Arabidopsis thaliana: one gene and its partner. The protein of the gene in region 1 interacts with the protein of each later gene in a pairwise test. Each region holds a gene or a part of one and is shown on either strand. Other genes may lie near its edges. The genes, in order: AT1G70340 and PDH-E1 BETA.

Region 1 (5,187 bases):
CGGGTTTAAAACCTCACCTTCGTAAATGACAGAAATGTCGCCGAAGTTTTTTTTGAGAGTTTGAGAAAAGAGTAAACATGGCGGCCAACGGCGTGAGAAGAGCTCTTCAGGCATCGTCATCCTCCGGGAAGATACTCTTTGGTCGTTCATCAGCGGCAACTTCTGCTTCGAAGATCGGAAAATCAGCCGGAATTGCTTTCGGGAATGGATCATCTTCTTCAACTCGTCCCTCACTTCGTAGACTCACATTCTCCAGGTTAGCTATCGAATCCTAGAACCGAGATTCTACAGGCGATAGATCTGTTTTCAATCGAGAAATAGTTTGATTTTGCGTCTACAATGTATGAGCTTTATGCTGAAGAATTAGGGTTTATCTCTGAAATGTAAATTTGGGTTTTGTGTTTAGGGTACCTGTGGAATTGAGTGCAGGGATTTCACTAATACCATTACATAGTGTTACTGCTTCAGCTTTGCTCACTTCATTGCTATCTCTGAGCAATCAAAACTGGAGTTGCTTATCAGAAGGTAAATTTTTTACTTGTGTTCATGATTTATGTTTAGAATTGAAGTTGATTCTGAATTTCTGTTTCCAGACTAGGAGTAAATGTAGTCTCAATTGGTAAATAGGATTCCATAAATGATCTGCCTTGACATGCTAATAGAAGTAATCGGTTTTGTATAGTATATCAAGTGATCGGCTTTATAGCTAATGATCTTTTTCTTCGCATGTTTTATTACGAAAACGTAGCAGAAGGGCATTGAGTTTGTATAAATTGTTCCTTGTCATACTATTGCTCCATTGTGACGACCTATCACTGTCTATCTGACCTAATGAGAGTGGAATCTTATCGATGGTAGTAAAATGATGTGTTGATTCACATTTACGAAACATTGAACCAGTGGATTAGATTGTTCAGACTTGTGTTGTGTTGGTCTATTTGCACAGTGACTAATCTAAGTTTGCATTCGATATTTGCAGGATTTGCTTCAACACTATAACATGGCCTGCAAGTTTTGATAGATTCCAAGAAATTTGTTTCATTTCATCGCTGTATTTTGCAGTTTGTCCTAGAAGTTGGAGATATCGAGAAAAAACACAAACCCTTGCTTTCTTCTAAGGGCTAGTTTGTTCTGTTTACCTAATACAATTGTCATATTCAATTGATGATTCCGTTACCTTTAACACTTTGCCTGGAAATAAACTACTCATTATGCTTCATGGTTTCCATTACCTCTCTGCCAGTGAATCTGACTTAAAGCTATTTAATCTCGTTCATTAATGTTCATGATTGAAATTGAATCACTATTGGTGAATTATGTTTAGAAATTGAATCAGACCCTTGTTTTCTTCTAACATCTAAGGCCTACTTTGTTCTTTTTGTTTATACATTTATCATCTTAAATTGGTAATCTCGTTACTTTAGCACTTCTGGCCTACAAATAAACTACTCATTATGCTGAAATTGTTTGAGTTCCCTTACCAAAACCAATTAAGATACTGTTTATAGTAAAGAAAAAGTGATTGAAACAGTTCTGACTTTCTTGTAATTTTGTAGTCGGAATCATGCGATGTTTATTGGTTCCACCAACTATGCACTGTCAAGTGTCAACCACCAAATACACTATACTAGAGACTTAACCATTAGAAATTGGTTCTTCAAATTGGCCATATAAATTATAAATCCATGAACTGACTAAAAAGACTCATCGTTGCTTTTTGTGAAGTGTTAAACCAAATGATCACGGATATAAATTAGAATAATTGCGACACAGATCTACCAGCAATTTCGACCGTTGCAACAAAGCCATGATTCAAAAAGTTTGCTTTTTTAATCTTACCGTTGGCTCCTAGCAACTGCAAATCCTTAAGATCAACATCTCCTTCTTAATTCTTACCCAGTTATTGAATTTTCTGAAACTATCGTTCTTGATCTTAAAAGCTCAACAAAAATGGCAGCTTTGGCACCTGGAATTCTTCAAAAGCTAATCCAAGGTATGAAAACAGGAATTAAACCAACTAGAGAGCACCGAAGCTCTATGTTACAGGTCACAGATATCGTTCCCATTGATCTCGACGAGAAGTCTCTGGAGCCGAAACAAGGGTTTCTCATCAAAATCTCTGATTCCTCTCACTCGATCTACGTCTCTCTCCCTTCGGATCAAGACGACGTCGTTCTCAGCAATAAGTTGCAGTTGGGTCAGTTTATCTACGTTGATCGGCTCGAACCTGGATCCCCTGTTCCTGTCATTAAAGGGGCAAAACCCATACCTGGCCGGCACCCCTTGCTTGGGACGCCGGAGACATTGGTGGTTCCGAAAGAAAGAACTGATCAAGAGATTGGGTCGAAGCCTAGAAGAGGATCTTGGGGACAAAACGTCGACTTTTCTTCGTCTCCGTTTGTTGTGAAACCAATGGCGTTGGAGTTTGACCATTCCACGCCGGCGAAGAGGTCTGTTTCAGCTAGATTTGCAGCGTCTCCGATCAGAAGAGGTGGAGTGAGATGCTCTTTTGGTGGAGGGGTTTTGGGGAAATTGGAAGGAGAGAGTCCGGCGACGGCGATGCTAAGGAAGAGTTGTTTTGTTTCGTCGGCTTCGAAGTTTCCGAGAAGTAGAAGTGTTTGTGACAGACAGGCCAAAAAGAACAATGCTTCTCTTTTTAGTCCCTTCAAATCCTCTCTAGGTATATTTTGCTTTTAACATTTCTATTGATCATTTAGTGTGTTTACAATGATTTATTCAGGACAATGCTTGTTTCTTGATTTCAGAGGCTCAAGAAGATGTTGTTCCCTTGTCTACCTCGAAGAAGATAAAACCCGAGAAAGATACCAATTTATCAGGAAGGCTCAACATACTAAGCAAGGTGATTTGAACTCCATTTGTGTTCTTCATTGAAGTTTGATGCTTGGAATAATATCATATCTTTCTTGAAAGTTCAAATAGTTCCTTAATCTTCTTTGTGTTACTTTGGTGACAGGAAGCAACTCAGCTTCGGGAGGTAGCTCAGAAAGTTGCCCTTCAGGCATTGCGAGAAGCTACAATCACGGAAATTGTTGTTCGTCATACCAAGTATATAACCCGAAACTCTTCTTTCCTACGCTTTTTTATTAGTCGGATTTGAGTTGGAATGTAATGTGTTGATGTGGTTTTGTTGGGACAGGACGTTCACCAATCTGAGTAAATCAGCAAAAGCTGATTGCCCTGCGGTGTGCTTTGAGAAGTTCATGGAGTTTCACCAGCAGATGGCACAAACCATTGGCGAACTCACTTCCATTGAAGTAGCTGCTACTCCAGATGCTGAGAACAAGTCACAGAACATAAACGCAAGAACCGAAAATCAGAAACCAACAGAAGAAGGGTCTTCTTCGATCCTGCATGAAATCGCTTATAATTCTATTGATCAGGAGAAAAGGAGATCAAAGAGACGGATTGTCCTGAAGCAGCAGAGCGAAGGGAAGACAGTGAGATCAAATGATGAGAACAAGAACCCAGCTTCTGGCGGTATAAGCAACACGATTAGGTTAGCAAAGGAGATCGAGGATGAAGCTGCAAACTGGTTCATGGAGTTCATCGAAATAGCTCTGGAGAAAGGTATGAAGAAATCTAGAGGCCCTGATGATGCAGACGTTAAGAAGGTTCCGCAATCTCTGATTCTCGGGGTTTTAAACTGGATTGAAGTCGAACAGTCTGATAGCAACAACAACAAGAGACGCAGAGTCCATCCAAAAGCATCAAAGATCACTAGAAAGCTCAGAATTAAACTGAAGAATCCTTGAACCACTTACAATGAGAAACACTGAATACACGTTGTAGCCTTTTACAGCTTATAAGTCTTTTGTGTTCATGGTGTAGAAAGAAGAATTTTCACATATTACTGAAGGAAAAACGAACAATTCACACAGGATGATTCACAGATTAATGAAGCTGAGTTTGTCGAAGCTTAAAGAATTCAACAAATACAGATAACAAAGCTTTGGTAGAATCAAATGACCCAGAACCAAGCAATGACAGATCCAGAGGCCAAACCAACAACCAAGAACATCACAGTGACGATTCCTGCAGTCTCCGAGTGTCTCAGTGGAACCGATTTTGGAGCCAGAATCATCAAGACGCTTGTCAAGTACCCGTTGGTAAGTCCCAATAAGCATGTCAGTATAGTTACAGGAATCTCAGTCCTGAGAAACATCGGACCGTGCAAGCAACCCCAGAAGAGAGGGTAAAACAAGAGCCTAGCAATGGAACCACCAACAGCGATTTTCTCATCCTCCAGCATGAATACAGCAGTCAGACACTTACCAACCAAGTCAAACACATTGTACGCTGCAATAAGCAGAATAGGGTACCAATCTGTAAGAAGCTCTGAATGAACATCCTCAGTAATGTATCCAGGAAATATCGACAATGTCACCATGTATAAGAGAACAATCCCGAAACCATGAGATTTAACTTTCGTCACGATATCCCAGAGTGTTGTCCTCCACGCTAAACCGGTTAAAGAACCTTTCTCTTCGCTCTTCTCTCTGATTAGTTCTTCATTCTTACGCTCCTCATGGAACTTGATCACCGGAAGCTTATGCGCTACGTTGTAGAACACAGCACAAATCACCATAACAACAATCCCCACAGCAAAGTATAGATTCGCACTTTTTCTCAAACCATCAGGATCTTGAGGATACACAGCTTTAGTCAAAATTCTCAATAGTGACACAAGAACACCTACACATCCAAAATTCCCAAAAACCTAAATTAATCTAACCACAGCAACCAAATCATTCTCCATTATTGAGGAAGATGAAACATTTACCGGAGCCAGCAGTTCCGGCGACAACAGCTTGCATATACCTCTCCGGCATTTCACCGGCAACACCGATAAGACCTCCTTGCATAAGTGCATCACCTAGACCGGATAAGGCAACGGCGGCGGAAGTAACATCGAATCCGGCGTATAATCCGACCTGTCCTTTAACATAAACCAGATCCAAAACAGGAACCACAAGCAAGGCGATTACGAAGAGTAAAAGACCGAGATTGATTCTAAAGCTAGCGAGGCTCTTATGTGCATAGAAGACAACGATAACGAATAGACAAACAAGAGCAACGAGCATGTAGATAACGGCGAAGATCCGATCGACGGCCGTGGAAGGATAGAGGTAAGAGAAGTAATCGACGGCGGTGATGAATGCGTTCCAT
Region 2 (5,005 bases), about 16 Mb from region 1:
GGTATTGTCAATAGAAATCTGCACCACGAAAAAATTACAGATTCATCAAAACTACTTCCTCTATCACAATTACAATTTCTGAACTGATAAAGATTCATTCACCTAACAATTTCATTACAAAAACAACCAAACTACACTGTTAGAGAGCAAAACATAACCATAAAACCAAACAGAAACTAAAAAAAACACTCAATTTTGCAAATCTAACTAACTCCTGATCAACAGAATCTTTCAAATCTTGTTTGTTCCTCAAAAACATTACGCATTATAAAGTTTCAGTTCTAGGTATCAAAATCCAGATTCTTCCGATCTTGGACGAGTCAACAAACTTACATTGGCCCGGTGGTACGAGAAACACGGCGAGCTTCGTCGGCGGAGAAATGATCCGGCGGTGTGTTAATAGCTTTGTCGAGGTCAAAGAGTGCGTAACGAACGGAATAACGGAAAGAGTGGCGGACAGGACGGAGACGGTCGTGCCAGACTGTGCCTTCGTAGAAAGAGACATTAGGATCGACGGCGGCGCGTGAAGGAAGGAGACGGTGGAGAAGGAAGCGAAACGGGAGGAGAAGAGAGAAGAAGATGGAAGTGATTGAAGTGTAGATGATTGAACAGAGGAGAAAGAGCAATTCCATATCTCTACCTCTGTCTCTCTATCTCTATCTGATCTTTTTCAAAAATCAGAGATTGACATTGATGACCCTTCAAATGCAGAGGTTTGGTATATTTATGATTTAATGCCACGTTTAACGATAAGTATTAATTTAACGAGTAATTTACTTTTATTATTTTTGAATCTAATAATGCCGTTTTAAAATGCTATAAGTTAGTATTAATTTAGAATTTGTCTCATAGAGGCCATTGTTATCTTCAGTGACAGTATATTATTGTGTTGTGTGGACCCAAAAGCCAAAAAGGATTGTTTTATTTAATGTTGCAACCAGTTATTATCATAGGGTATTTATCGTATAATCGTGGCTGTTGCGTGGACGTTACTAAACCACTGTATATAATATGTATTTGCATATGGATAAATAATTAAATCATCTCTCAAATTTATAAAAATTTGCATTATGAGAATTCACAGAACTAAAACTCGTAGAATGAAAACTGCATACTAGAAAATCAGATAATAATTTTTTTAAAAAAAAATCAGATAATAAAATAAATAACTGCATACATTTGATTGGTAAATTTTTTATAATCGCATTAAAATAATATTTTACCATATATGTGTTACAAATCAGAGTATAAAATATACAAAACAATATATTGGTAGAGACTAGAGAGACTCAATGTAAATGCTTTAGTTACGTTTATATTTCGCTTATGAAAATTTGTTCTTTGTGGAGAAAAAAAAAAGTTCTTTTTTGACGAAAATTTGCTTACTGGATAATACTGATCTATTAATTACTGGGCCAAGACACTTGAGGCCCATCAACTCCTAGATCGGTGGAAACCTCAAATCTCACAGTTAACGTAATTAGGTTGGTCCAGGTGGTTAAGCAAACCCAGTGATAATCCACAAATCATATACGTACACGTGCCAATCCAGTCGTTAAGTAACACGTGTTAAATTAACATTGGTTGTTATACAATAGAGAAGCCACATGAGTTCGATGAAAACAATGTAAACATGTGGATTTGATTGCACAACAACAATACACATAATTTAATTCGATTTCGACAATTTCATTTAATTCTTCGATTTCTCCGCTTGTCACTGTTTCGTATCGCCATTTTCTGTTTGCATACACTTGTATATATTTATATTAACAGTCCAAAATTCTTCGAAATTGTCCCGAGCTTTGAGCATATAAAAAATGTCTTCGATAATCCATGGAGCTGGAGCTGCTACGACGACGTTATCGACGTTTAATTCCGTCGATTCCAAGAAACTCTTCGTTGCTCCTTCTCGCACAAATCTTTCAGGTTCGAATTTTATTTGATGATCGATCTGCATTCTCTGATTTCGATTTCTGGTGTTTTGGAGCTTCTATTGAGATGGATTTGTGAGATCTTAAAGCAGTTTCGTTGTTTGATTTTGATGCAGTGAGGAGCCAGAGATATATAGTGGCTGGATCTGATGCGAGTAAGAAGAGCTTTGGTTCTGGACTTAGAGTTCGTCACTCTCAGAAATTGATTCCAAATGCTGTTGCGGTAATGTCTTTGTCTCCGATTTTGTGATTTTTATGGTTTCTCCTTCTAATCTCTAATGATGTACGTTTTTGTTTTGTAGACGAAGGAGGCGGATACGTCTGCGAGCACTGGGTTTGTTTTGCACCTTTTTAGCTTTGCAAATTCGATTTTGATTTTACTCTTTTGTGCTCATTGAAGGATTTAGACACTGCTTGAACAAATCTCTAATTGGATCTTTCATGTTCTGTTCTAAATGATTAGATTGTTTCAGTAGTTTTATTACATTTTAGTGGGGATTCAAAGTTGGATAACGATGAGGAAGTTTTTAACTATGTGCTATTGGGTGTGGTGATGTAGGATCCTAGCCAGTTCTAGAGTAGTCAAAACACTAATCTATAGTTGATAGTGATGGCAAAAGCTTAATGTGTTGCATGTCTGCTTCCAGTAATCATTCTAGTGATGCCTTTGGTTGTGCTTATGATGCCAAATGTTTAGGTTAAACCGTTAAACCATTTAGTTCATTCCCATGAACATAGTTTAACTCTCAAGAACATTTCTGGACATCATACGGCAATTGGTTAGGCTTCTGTTACATATTATGCGACTTTCCATTTAGTGAATGTTTCTGTTAGGGGTTTGTGTGTTGTCTTCATTTTCACATAAGCAATCCATGATGATGTCACCATGGCATTTTCTTTCATGTATTAGTCGTCACAAATAGCACATTTTCTTTATCTACCTTTAAACTTCCATGCTCATATTCAATATAAGTGTCATGATGATGCCTTTTTTTTGTCAAAAATACAAAGTGTGACCAATCTTCTCGTATGAATTTACAGACATGAACTATTGCTTTTCGAGGCTCTTCAGGAAGGTCTGGAAGAAGAGATGGACAGAGATCCACATGTATGTGTTATGGGTGAAGATGTTGGCCATTACGGAGGTTCCTACAAGGTAACCAAAGGCCTTGCTGATAAATTTGGTGACCTCAGGGTTCTCGACACTCCTATTTGTGAAAATGCATTCACCGGTATGGGCATTGGAGCTGCCATGACTGGTCTAAGACCCGTTATTGAAGGTATGAACATGGGTTTCCTCCTCCTCGCCTTCAACCAAATCTCCAACAACTGTGGAATGCTTCACTACACATCCGGTGGTCAGTTTACGATCCCGGTTGTCATCCGTGGACCTGGTGGAGTGGGACGCCAGCTTGGTGCTGAGCATTCACAGAGGTTAGAATCTTACTTTCAGTCCATCCCTGGGATCCAGATGGTTGCTTGCTCAACTCCTTACAACGCCAAAGGGTTGATGAAAGCCGCAATAAGAAGCGAGAACCCTGTGATTCTGTTCGAACACGTGCTGCTTTACAATCTCAAGGAGAAAATCCCGGATGAAGATTACGTCTGTAACCTTGAAGAAGCTGAGATGGTCAGACCTGGCGAGCACATTACCATCCTCACTTACTCGCGAATGAGGTACCATGTGATGCAGGCAGCAAAAACTCTGGTGAACAAAGGGTATGACCCCGAGGTTATCGACATCAGGTCACTGAAACCGTTCGACCTTCACACAATTGGAAACTCGGTGAAGAAAACACATCGGGTTTTGATCGTGGAGGAGTGTATGAGAACCGGTGGGATTGGGGCAAGTCTTACAGCTGCCATCAACGAGAACTTTCATGACTACTTAGATGCTCCGGTGATGTGTTTATCTTCTCAAGACGTTCCTACACCTTACGCTGGTACACTGGAGGAGTGGACCGTGGTTCAACCGGCTCAGATCGTGACCGCTGTCGAGCAGCTTTGCCAGTAAATTCATATTTATCCGATGAACCATTATTTATCATTTACCTCTCCATTTCCTTTCTCTGTAGCTTAGTTCTTAAAGAATTTGTCTAAGATGGTTTGTTTTTGTTAAAGTTTGTCTCCTTTGTTGTGTCTTTTAATATGGTTTGTAACTCAGAATGTTTGTTTGTTAATTTTATCTCCCACTTTCTTTTATTTAGACCCTTAGAATTTTCTTTACACTTTATATGTGTTCATGGTGCTAGTTACAATAAATTTTAACCTGAGAATTTTCTTTACACTTATTATAAACACATACACAACTCATTTCCTTCTGAATCCAGACAACGACTTTATTACAATGACCCCCATGTTAAAATAAAACAAAAAAACTTTCTACGTACCAATAACCAATTTACAAAAATGAAAGTAAAAAACCCCTAGAGAAAGCTTTTGCATTCCAAAAGGGTTCTACTAAAAAGAACCGCCCAAAAAAAGAAAAACAACAGTTAACAAAAAAAATAAAAAGACAAACATTGGTTCTTGGTATCTTATATCACCACTTGGCTGATTTACATTTAGCAGCTCTTCCTGTGTCGTTTAAGAACGAACCAAAAGTCTTGATGACTTCTTCATAGGTTGGCCTTTTGTAATCCACTGCTTGCTCTACCACTTCTTCTGGCTTCGCCCATTTCCACTCCGCAAACTCTGAATCCGCTTCGTTGTTCGCTAGATTGATCTCTTTCTCGTCCTCATCGTTCCTCAGTCTCACTAAATACCTGTAGGAATTATTAAGTTTCAGAACAATGAGCCACATTCTTTGCTTTCACGAAATTAAGTAGTATCGAAGGGCTTACCATTTCTGAGCTTGACCATGCCATTCACCGCCCCAAAGACGGTTAACTTTTGCTTTTACTGCTGGTGGAAAATCATATGTCAACCAATTTGGGACCTGTTTAGACATTAAAGAACCCACATTAGTAAATATATCCTCTGATTCATATCGGTTCGCGCAAGTGTTAACTTAAATGTTAGCGACCTCAGAGACGATTTCAGCTGAAACAACACCAGTTTCTTCTTGTAAC

The links.
Region 2: the proteins of AT1G70340 (region 1) and PDH-E1 BETA interact in a two-hybrid assay, tested with the Arabidopsis thaliana proteins (one large-scale study listed by BioGRID).

Annotation. Positions count from the first base shown.
Region 1 is NC_003070.9:26,503,153-26,508,339, reverse strand, and holds AT1G70340 (dicer-like protein (DUF936)), read left to right. Parts: upstream 1-1,667; 5' UTR 1,668-1,950; coding exon 1,951-2,680; intron 2,681-2,765; coding exon 2,766-2,860; intron 2,861-2,974; coding exon 2,975-3,066; intron 3,067-3,157; coding exon 3,158-3,773; 3' UTR 3,774-3,979; downstream 3,980-5,187. Other genes in the region: AT1G70350 (uncharacterized protein), read left to right, coding at 78-256, 407-525, 980-999; ENT1 (equilibrative nucleotide transporter 1), read right to left, coding at 3,980-4,713, 4,802-5,187.
Region 2 is NC_003070.9:10,583,293-10,588,297, reverse strand, and holds PDH-E1 BETA (pyruvate dehydrogenase E1 beta), read left to right. Parts: upstream 1-1,617; 5' UTR 1,618-1,820; coding exon 1,821-1,929; intron 1,930-2,050; coding exon 2,051-2,157; intron 2,158-2,236; coding exon 2,237-2,268; intron 2,269-2,975; coding exon 2,976-3,948; 3' UTR 3,949-4,193; downstream 4,194-5,005. Other genes in the region: AT1G30130 (DUF1365 family protein), read right to left, coding at 1-18, 334-632; NUDX25 (nudix hydrolase homolog 25), read right to left, coding at 4,477-4,699, 4,778-4,872, 4,960-5,005. UniProt on the Arabidopsis thaliana protein: The pyruvate dehydrogenase complex catalyzes the overall conversion of pyruvate to acetyl-CoA and CO(2).